Macaca mulatta: one gene and its partners. The protein of the gene in region 1 purifies or fractionates together with the protein of each later gene. This does not show direct contact. Links are inferred from orthologs where the notes say so. Each region holds a gene or a part of one and is shown on either strand. Other genes may lie near its edges.

Region 1 (3,520 bases):
GGGAAGATGGAGAGTTACATTCTGATCTTCACTGCTTAGAGCAGAAATATGGTAGGTATTTAACAGAGTCAGGCAGCACAACTACCTACCTCTTCCTCTGAACAGGTTGTCAGAAAGCAGTGACACTAATTACTACACTTTCTTTTTCTAAACCTCATTTTCTTCATCTTTAAAATGAAGGGTTCAGAGTCAATGAATTCCCAGGGCCCCTTCCCCCACGTGTCACTAGGGGCTTTTACCCAGTGGTTATATAATGGGAAGAAGGTACCACTGCCTGGCTGGGCCAGGAGACAGGAAGGGTGAGGTGAATGGCAAGCCAGCCACTCACCTGCAAGAAGTCAGTCATGCCCTGGAGAAAGGCAGGGACACCAGGCATCGCCACAGTGATAGTGGGAGAAGCCACACCAGGCCCTCCAGCCCCTGGTCCGGCAGGCCCTAGCAGGTTCCCCAGAAGCTGAGAGAACTGAAGATCAGCCGTGGAGGGTTGAGGGGTGGGTGGAGGCTGGGCAGGCCCCCCAGGGGCGGGGCCAGCTGTGGTAGCTGTGTTGGTGGTGCCAGCACTGGCAGAAGCAGTGGCAGGGGCTGGTGGTGGAGCCATTCCTGGAGTCCCCTGAGCTGTAAGAACCAAAAGAAAAAAGCTGGGCTGAGCATGGTGGCTCTCGGCTATAATCCTAGCAACTCTGGGAGGCCAAGGCAGGAGAACTGCTTGAGCCCAGGAATCTAGGCCACATAGCAAAACCCCATCTCTATCAAAAAACAAAAAAAGACAATTACTAGCCAGAAGCTAGTACTGCTAGCTACTCAGGAGGCTGAGGTGGGAGAACTATTTGAGCCCAGGAGTTCAAGGTTACAGTGAGCTATAACTCACTGGATTGCACCACTGCACTCCAGTCTGGGTGACAGAGCAGGACTCTGTCTCAAAAAAAAATAAAAAAGCTGGCCAGGCATGCTGGCTCAAGCCTGTAATCCCAGCACCTTGGGAGGCCGAGGCAGGTGGATCATGAGGTCAAGAGATCGGGACCGGCCGGGCGCGGTGGCTCAAGCCTGTAATCCCAGCACTTTGGGAGGCCGAGACGGGCGGATCACGAGGTCAGGAGATCGAAACCATCCTGGCTAACACGGTGAAACCCCGTCTCTATTAAGAAATACAAAAAACTAGCCGGGCGAGGTGGCGGGCGCCTGTAGTCCCAGCTACTCGGGAGGCTGAGGCCGGAGAATGGCGTGAACCCGGGAGGCGGAGCTTGCAGTGAGCTGAGATCCGGCCACTGCACTCCAGCCTGGGCGACAGAGCGAGACTCCGTCTCAAAAAAAAAAAGAGATCGGGACCATCCTGGCCAACATGGTGAAACCCCGTTTCTACTAAAAATATAAAAAATTAGCTGGGTGTGGTGGCACTCACCTGTAGTCCCAGCTACTCAGGAGGCTGAGGCAGGAGAATCACTTGAACCCAGGAGGCGGAGCTTGCAGTGAGCCAAGATTGCACCACTGCACTCCAGCCTGGTGGACAGAGCGAGACTCCATCCCCCCCCAAAAAAAGAAAAACATTGAAACCTAAAGACAAACAAGACACTATAGCAGCCCTATTCCAGGAAAGCAGGAACCAAGAAAATACAGAAAGAACTAGAAAGTGCCAATAAGCAGACTAGGAAAGGAATTTAAAGTCTGAGTGGGGAAGAATGAAAACTCACCCACAAGGACTGGCTGCATAAGAAGCTGCCCCACAAGGCCGCTCACCATCTGGGCCAACGAAGCATTGGTACCCAGCCCGGCGCCCTGCTGGATAGAGAGCAAGGAAGGACTTCAGACCTGCCCTTCCATGCACCACCACAGGAGTCTCTCCCTAGACTGTTACGCACTAGAACTCCCCAACCCTTGCTCACCAGTGTCCCAGAGACTGGGGGCCCTCCAGGATGAGAAGGCCGAGCCTGTGGAGGAGTGGGCCGGGCAATCACCACCCGGGTTGGAGCTGTTGGGAAGCCTGGTACCTGCTGTCCTGTGGGTGGCAGAAGAGAAGAGACCGAACAGGGCTGAGGGCCAGGCCCTTGCCAGCCAGCTGCCACCACGGACTGTGCCCCACCTCCCAAGCCTCCCCTTCCAGGTCATTACCTGCGGCCGCGGAGGCAACAGCTGCCACCATGGCCTGATGAGTGATCTGGTGGGCGACGGCGTGCATGAACTCAGGGGGCAGGGAGGGCAGCTGGATGAGGGTGGAGCCTGGGGGGCGGGTCTGATGTAACCTTGAACCTGGACCCCTTCAACCCACCCACTCAGCCCTTCCCCTTCACTACCCAGAGCTCAGCCTGCCCTGATGCCCTCACTCTTACCCAGGGTTTGGCCATGACCAGGGGGCCCCAGGGGGCCAGTGGGAGCACTCGGAACACCACCAGGCTGTGTGCCAGAATCTGGGCAGGGAGACAGAGAGAGTAGCCCTGAGGTAGGTAGGGCCAAGGCCTAACTATATCCTACTGAGATCAGGCATACTTCAGGCCCATAATCCCCCAATCAGAAAGCCTGCTTTTCCCTTCATCTAAACAGGGAGAAGGTGCTCCCTTCACCATGCAAACACATCTCCAAAAACAAAGCAACCCGTCCCCCACATCCATCTACTAAAGTTTCTGCTCTGGTCCCCAGGCTACCACCACCAGCATGGGCCTCTCCCTTCCCCACCCTGTTTCCTCATACCTCGACATGAACCTCCCTCAACATGCTGATTCTACTCTTCTCGCCAGCAACTGATTCTAACTCACCTTGAATGTTCATGTGCATCATGACCACGGGTTCCACGCTCTGGTGGGAAATCCGGATGACCCTCGGGTGGCTGGTGGCTGGCGGGGGAGCTGGACCTGGAGGGGGAGCCCCCTCAGCTGAGGACTCGACATTGGTAGAAGATGGAGCCGTGGACGAGGCCTGCCCAGGACCAGGGGGAGGTGCCTCCGCATTGGGAGTTGGGGGGGGCCGAGTCCCATTTCCTGTCATGGTCACAGTGGTTCCCACGTTGATCTGAAAAAGACAGATGGACAGGCAGAAGTGAGAAAAATACAGAAGCCTAACCAAGAAATCCTCACAATAAACCTCTGAAGTATCCCCAGCCTCCATCACCATGTTTCCAAAGTCTCCTCCTTTCCTAACCTCCTTCAGGCCCAGTAGCTACCCTGGGTCACTCTATCAACACTCCTCACTCTCCCTCAGGCCAGACTCCCCCTAACCCACCTGTATGGGAATGGCTGCCTGCTGGAGCACCATGGGGGTGGTGTAGTGAGACATAGGCCGGACTACATGCAGGTGTCGTGGGGGCGCACAGGCCAGATTGCAGCGCAGGTCAGACAGTGCAACAAAGGTGTTGCCCAGCAGTCGCAGGCTCTCCCCCACCAAGTTGATCAACCGCTGATCCTCCTCCCGGCCCTCGTGCTGCACACCCCAGCCAAACACAAAAGGGCAGAAAATATCAAGCTGGAGTCCATCTCACTAATGAAAGCAATAATGCCTTCTAAGAATACCACGTCCTCCAAAACTTTCAGTT
Region 2 (3,520 bases), on another chromosome or scaffold:
AAACCCGGGAGGCGGAGCTTACAGTGAGCTGAGATCCGGCCACTGCACTCCAGCCTGGGCCACAGAGCGAGACTCCGTCTCAAAAAAAAAACAAAAACAAAAACAGAAACAAAACAAAACAAAACAAAATATTGTACCACTGCACTCCAGCCTGAGTGACAAGAGCAAGACTCGGTCTCAAAAATAAAAATAAAGACCAGCCTGGCCAACATGGTGAAACTGTCTCTACTAAAAATACAAAACTAGCTGGGCGTGGTGGCTTATGCCTGTAATCCCAGCACTTTGGGAGGCCAGGCGGGCGGATCATGAGGTCAGGAGATCGAGACCATCCTGGCTAACACGGTGAAACCCAGTCTCTACTAAAAGTACAAAAAATTAGTCGGGCATGGTGGCAGGCGCCTGTAGTCCCAGCTACTCGGGAGGCTGAGGCAGGAGAATGTTGTGAACCCGGGAGGCAGAGCTCGCAGTGAGCCGAGACTGCGCCACTGCACTCTAGCCTGGAACAGAGTGAGACTCCGTCTCAAAAAAAAAAAAAAAAAATACAAAACTAGCCAGGTGTGGTGCCATGCGCCTGTAACCCCAGCTACTCAGGAGGCTGAGGCGCGAGAATCACTTGAACCCGGGAGGCGGAGGTTGCAGTGAACTGAGATCACACCACTGCACTCCAACCTGGGCAACTGAGTGAGACTCTGTCTCAAAAAAAATTTTTTTAAAGAAAATAAAACCCACAGAAAATATTTACTACAAAACAAGATATCCCTATAAACCCCAAAATACAAGAGGGAGGGGCAAACCCCAAACAGACCTGCATACTAACACGATCTGTGTGGGAGGACACCAGAGACAGCAATGGGGCTCCTGAGAAATCTGAGGACAGGAGGCCCCAAAAGAGCCAACAGGTACCCTCTGGAGCACAGGGGTCCAATCTGAGAATAGCAGCTACAACGGGGAGGGGTTGTGCCCGTTTCACCAGCTAGTGAGTGCCAGGGGCCTGCAGCAAGTTCTGTTGGGGCTAGAGCGACCTGGCTCCTGCCTGCTCTCAAACCTGAGTCCCAGCGCTGTGCCTGGACAGGGCCCCATGACAAGGAGAATGGAGTCAAAACTGAGCAGGACAAGGAAGGGCAAGAGAGATGAAGGAAATAGGAGGTTCCAAAAAAAGTGGGCAAGTGGACCAGAGCCAGGAAATCTCAGAGAGCCAGTGCCATGTTTTTGAGCAGTGTACAAAAACAACACAACGGGAAGTTCGGCGAAGTCAGCAATGCCACCCCGAGCCACACTTCATCCAAAAGTTAGAAAAGCAGCAACGGCGCTCACGCCTGTAATCCCAGCACTTTCGGAGGCTGAGGCAGGTGGATCACGAGGTCAAGAGATCGAGACCATCCTGGCCAACATGGGGAAACCCCGTCTCTATTAAAAACACAAAAATTAGCTGGGCGTGGTGGCACACACCTGTAATCCCAGCTACTCGGGAAGCTGAGGCAGGAGAATCACTTGAACCTGGGAGGCGGAGGTTGCAGTGAGCCAAGATCATGCCACTGCACTCCAGCCTGGCGACAGAGTGAGGCTCTGTCTCAAAAAAAAATGAAAAGCAGCAAGGACAAGGAGCAAGACACAGCAAGAGGCAGAAGGAAGGAGCCAGCCCTGGCTTGGGTGAGGAACTAGGATAGGGCTGAGCTTTGAATTCCACAGTCCTGCCCCCAGGCCAGTATCCGGTTGTCACTTCCCTTGCTCACCTGGTCTCTTGCTGTGAGGCAGGGCAGGTAAGGCAGAATCTCTACAACATCCACATTGCAAAAATTGCTGAAATTGCGGCAGATATACTTATAGGTCTTGTCTTCAGCAAACGGCATTGCTGCTCAGATTCTAGAGAGAGGGCTCTGGCCCCGTGAAGGGTGGATGGACTGAGAGGAAACGAGACTGGAAGAAAACAGAATCACACATGACAACAGGGTTGGGAGTGGGGCTGGACAAAAGGCAATTCTTTCTCAACTTTTTGGAATTTTTGTTTTCTTTCATCTTGAATTTCTTCTTCTTTTTCTTCTTTTTTTTTTTTTTTTTTTTTTGAGACTGAGTCTCACTCTGTCACCCAGGCTGGAGTGCAGTGGCGCGATGTTGGCTCACTGCAACCTCTGCCTCCTGGGTTCAATTGACTCTTACCTCAGCCTCCTTCCCCAGTAGCTGGGATTACAGGTGCCCACCACCATGCCCAGCTAATATTTGTATTTTTAGTAGAGATGGGGTTTCACCATGTTGGCAGGCTGGTCACGGACTCCTGACCTCAAGTGATCCACCCGCCTCAGCCTCCCAAGTTTGGAGATTACAGGCGTGAGCCACCACACCTGGCTTTTTTTTCTTTTTCTTTTTCTTTTTTAAGAGACGGGGTCTCAGGCTGGGCACAATGGTTCATGCCTATAATCCCAGCACTTTGGGAGGCCAAGTTGGGGGATTACCTGAGGTTGGGAGTTGGAGACCAGCCTGACCAACATGGAGAAACCCCGTCTCTACTAAAAATACAACAACAACAACAAATTAGCTGGGCATGGTGGTGCATGCCTGTAGTCCCAGCTACTCGGGAGGTTGAGGCAGGAGAATTGCTTGAACCTGGGAGGCAGAGGTTGAGGTGAGCCGAGACCATGCCATTGCACTCCAGCCTGGGCAACAAGAGCGAAACTCCATCTCAAAAACAAACCAACCAACCAAAAAAGAGATGGGGTCTCACTCTGTCACCCAGGTTGGGTGCAGTGGTGCAATCATACTTCACTGCAGCCTCAAATTTCTGGGCTCAAGCAATCCTCCTGCCTCAGCGTCCCAGGTAGCTGGAACTACAAACTTGCGCCACTATGCCCAGCTAATTTTTATATTATTTCTAGAGACAGGGTCTCATGATGTTGCCCAGGCCTCAAGCGATCCTCCTGCCTCAGCCTGTCAAGTAGGTCAGATTACAAGTGCCAGCCAATGTGCCCAGCCATCTTTAATTTATTTTTTTGAGACGGAGTCTTGCACTGTTGCCCAGGCTGGAGTGCAGTGGTGCAATCTCGGCTCACTGCAAGCTCAGCCTCCCGGGTTCACGCCATTCTCCTGCCTCAGCCTCCCCAGGAGCTGGGACTACACGCGCTTGCCAACATGCCCAGCTAATTTTTTTTTTTTTTTTTTTTTTTGAGACGGAGTCTTGCTCTGTCACCCAGGCTGGAGTGCAGAGGCGCGGTGTCGGCTTACTGCAAGCTCCGCCTCCCGGGTTCACTCCATTCTCCCGTCTCAGCCTCCCCAGTAGCTGGGACTACAGGCACCCGCCACTACGCCCGGCTAATTTTTTTATATTTTTAGTAGAGACGGGGTTTCACCTGTGTAGCCAGGATGGTCTCGATCTCCTGACCTCGTGATCCACCCACCTCGGCCTCCCAAAGTGCTGGGATTACAGGCGTGAGCCACCGCGCCCGGCCACGCCCAGCTAATTTTTTTGTATTTTTATTGGAGACGGGGTTTCACCGTTTTAGCCAGGATGGTCTCGATCTCCTGACCT
Region 3 (3,520 bases), on another chromosome or scaffold:
ACATGTTTGTGTTTTGTTTTGTTGTTTGTTTTTTGACACAGAGTCTCACTCTGTCACCCAGGCGGGAGTGCAATGGTGTGACCTCGGCCCACTGTAACCTCCGTCTGCCGGGTTCAAGCGATTCCCTTGCCTCAATCTCCAGAGTAGCTAAGATTATAGGCGTCCGCCACTATGCCTGGCTAATTTTTGTATTTTTAATAGAGACAGGGTTTCACCATGTTGGCCAAGCTGGTCTCCAACTCCCGACCTCAGGTGATCTGTCCGTCTCCACCTCCCAAAGGACTGAAATTACAGGCGTGAGCTACTGTGCCTGGCCGGATTCTGCATACATATTGACGACCTCTGTGCCAGGCACTGTTCATGCTAAGTGCTGAGGACACAGCAGTGAGCTAGATGGTAAAACCCTTGCCCTTGAGGGGATGCCCCTCCATCTGCTCTGGAGACAGATGATAAACATGATAAGGGAATCATGAGGGATGTGAGGAAGGGCTAATTTTTCTTTTTTCAGATGTGTCTTGTTATATTGCCCAGGCTGGTGTCCAACTCCTGGGTTCAAGCGATCCTCCCATCTCATTATCCTGAGTGCCTGGGACTATAGGCGTGAGCTATCCTGCCCAGCTCCTAAGGACTAAACCTTAAGGAGAAAGGAAGGCAGGGCAGGGGATGTCAGTGGATCTGTGCTGTTATTTAGGGTGGTCAAGGAATCTCTCAGTGGAGGGATGGATGATCTGGAAGAGGTCATGGCCCATTCACGGGAGTATCTGGGGTCTCAAGTGGCCGGTTACAAGTGGGGAGTAGCAATGTAAATGGCCCGCAGTGGGTTTTGGCTTCCCTTCGAGGGCCCTGGCCACAGCTTGCAATTTTCCCGTTGTTTTTCACCCTTTATGCAACCATACAAAACCCTAAGTGCTACCTCAGGGTCCCCCCAGCTGTGACCTAATGAAACGCCTGTGGTCAGAGCCCGCCACAGGCTCCCTCTGGCCCTGTGCCCAGGTAGGAAGGCTCCCCCAGCAGTAGCAGCAACCTCCGTCTCATCCCTTTGGCCCCCAGGAGATTGACCCCAGCCTGGGCGTGGCGGAGCTGCCTGACGAGTTCTTCGAGGAAGACAACATGCTGAGCATGGGCAAGAAGATGATGCAGGAGGCCATGAGCGCATTTCCCGGCATCGATGAGGCCATGAGCTATGCCGAGGTCATGAGGTCAGGCCCAGCCAGCAGGGGTGGGGGCTGCCTGGGGAAGGGGAAGAGTGGACACAGAGGGCCTGACCCCTGTCTCCCCTCAGGCTGGTGAAGGGCATGAACTTCTCGGTGGTGGTGTTTGACACGGCACCCACGGGCCACACACTGAGGCTGCTCAACTTCCCCACCATCGTGGAGCGGGGCCTGGGCCGACTTATGCAGATCAAGAACCAGATCAGCCCTTTCATCTCACAGGCAGGCGGCGGGGGCCCCCACCTGCACCATCCAGGCAGCCGGGAGTGGGAGTAGGCCCAGGCCCCTAGACCCTCAGACACCTACTAACAATTCCCTTTCCTTCCCACCCCTTCTCTCTCTGGAATTCTCCCTGGAGGGCATGGGAGGGAGCTGTCTTTCCTCCCCCGCAGGCAGGACTCAGTGTCCCTGCCCCTGCCCACTAAATACCCTAGACAGAGCCAGAAAGCACATTTCAGAACCAGGCAACCTGCCTTCAAACCCTCTGCACTCACCGTGTGACCCAACTGCTGTGTGACCTCAAGCAAATCACTTCACCTCTCTGGGCCTCAACTTCCTTGTCTTGCAAATGGAGATCATGAGAGTGCCCCATGGGTTGTTATTATTATTATTATTATTATTACTTTTTTTTTTTTTTTTTTGAGACAGAGTCTTGCTCTGTCACCCAGGCTGGAGTGCAGTGGTGCAATCTCGGCTCATTGCAACCTCCACCTCCTGGGTTCAAGTGATTCTCGTGCCACAGCCTCCCAAGTAGCTGGGGGTACTTAGCAGACGTGTACTTAGCAGATGTGTACCACCATGCCCAGCTAATTTTTGTATTTTTTGTAGAGACAGGGTTTTGCCATGTTGCCCAAGCTGGTCTTGAACTCCTAGCCTCAAGCATTACACCCACCTCGACCTCCCAAAGTGCTGGGATTACAGGCATGAGCCACTGTGCCCAACCCCCGTGGCTTATTATTACGATGACAACCCCAAAGCCCCCACAGTGCTTCACACCACCAGCACCAGCCACCATGGTATATGTGCATGTGTGTACCCTGTGAGGACCTGTGCCTCAGGTGGTAACACTGGGCACTTACTGTGTGCCAGACACTGTTCTGAACACATTATATGCATCAGCTCATCTGGTACAACAGGTCTGGGAGGTAAAGTTTAGAGATGGGGAAACTGAGGCTCCAGAAGGTCAAGCCCCTTAGCCATAGTTCCCTAGAAATGGCAAGGCTGAGGCCGGTGGCGTTGGCTCACGCCTGTAATCCTAACACTTCGCAAGGCCAAGGCGGGTGGATCGCCTGAGGTCAGGAGTTCAAGACCAGCCTGGCCAAAAATGGTGAAACCCCACCTGTACTAAAAATACAAAAATTAGCCGGGCATGGTGGCCCGTGCCTGTAATCCCAGCTACTTGGGAGGCTGAGGCAGGAGAATCGCTTGAACCCGGGAGGCGGAGGTTGCAGAGAGCCAAGATCACGCCACTGCACTCCAGCCTGGGCAACAGAGCGAGACTCCATTCCAAGAAAAGAAGAAAGAAATGGCAAAGCTGGTATTTGACCAACCCCAGGAATCTGCTCACGGGCCTGAGCCTTTAACCGCTGGGAGGTATCAGGAGTCATCCCTCTGGTGTTTAGTGAACCCCCAACCCAGGAGGTTTAATGAGCCCCAGGTAAGCTATGAGTCCTCCCACATCCCCCCTGCAGATGTGCAACATGCTGGGCCTGGGGGACATGAACGCAGACCAGCTGGCCTCCAAGCTAGAGGAGACTCTGCCCGTCATCCGCTCAGTCAGCGAGCAGTTCAAGGACCCTGTGAGTGGTGGTCTGGCTGGCAGTGAGAGGCCTGGGGGCTGAGGACCGTGGCAGAACCCGCCCCTCACTGTCCTCTCTTGTGCCCTGTAGGAGCAGACAACTTTCATCTGCGTATGCATTGCCGAGTTCCTGTCCCTGTATGAGACAGAGAGGCTGATCCAGGAGCTGGCCAAGTGCAAGATCGACACGCACAATATCATTGTCAACCAGCTCGTCTTCCCTGACCCCGAGAAGCCCTGCAAGATGTGTGAGGCCCGCCACAAGATCCAGGCCAAGTATCTGGACCAGGTGTGCCCACCCACCCAGCACTGGCTGAGCAGAGGCACCTCTGCCCCTTTATTCTCTGACCTTTTGCTCCACCTTCTGGCCCTCTGGCCTAGCCTCCTGCCCTTTGCCCCCACATTTCAGATCCTTCACCCTTATTCTGGCCATAGAGGACTGTGGCTGGCCTGGCCTAGATCCCTGTGACCCTGGAGAGCAGGTGGTCTAGCCCAGTGATCTCTGGCTATA

Evidence for each region.
Region 2: the proteins of BAG6 (region 1) and MAVS purify together in Homo sapiens (affinity purification with western blotting; 3 studies listed by BioGRID and IntAct, with this or other methods). This does not show direct contact. The link is inferred for Macaca mulatta from reciprocal best matches to the Homo sapiens genes BAG6 and MAVS.
Region 3: the proteins of BAG6 (region 1) and GET3 purify together in Homo sapiens (co-immunoprecipitation; 5 studies listed by BioGRID and IntAct, with this or other methods). This does not show direct contact. The link is inferred for Macaca mulatta from reciprocal best matches to the Homo sapiens genes BAG6 and GET3.

The regions. Positions count from the first base shown.
Region 1 is NC_133409.1:150,677,726-150,681,245, reverse strand, and holds part of BAG6 (large proline-rich protein BAG6), read right to left. Parts: intron 3,409-3,520; coding exon 3,211-3,408; intron 3,001-3,210; coding exon 2,748-3,000; intron 2,430-2,747; coding exon of another isoform or gene 2,403-2,429; coding exon 2,325-2,402; intron 2,215-2,324; coding exon 2,107-2,214; intron 1,994-2,106; coding exon 1,881-1,993; intron 1,777-1,880; coding exon 1,689-1,776; intron 616-1,688; coding exon 329-615; intron 1-328. UniProt on the Homo sapiens protein: ATP-independent molecular chaperone preventing the aggregation of misfolded and hydrophobic patches-containing proteins.
Region 2 is NC_133415.1:80,212,049-80,215,568, forward strand, and holds part of MAVS (mitochondrial antiviral-signaling protein), read right to left. Parts: intron 1,918-3,520; 5' UTR 1,851-1,917; coding exon 1,734-1,850; intron 1-1,733.
Region 3 is NC_133424.1:13,300,958-13,304,477, forward strand, and holds part of GET3 (ATPase GET3), read left to right. Parts: intron 1-1,050; coding exon 1,051-1,199; intron 1,200-1,282; coding exon 1,283-1,477; intron 1,478-2,880; coding exon 2,881-3,010; intron 3,011-3,100; coding exon 3,101-3,298; intron 3,299-3,520.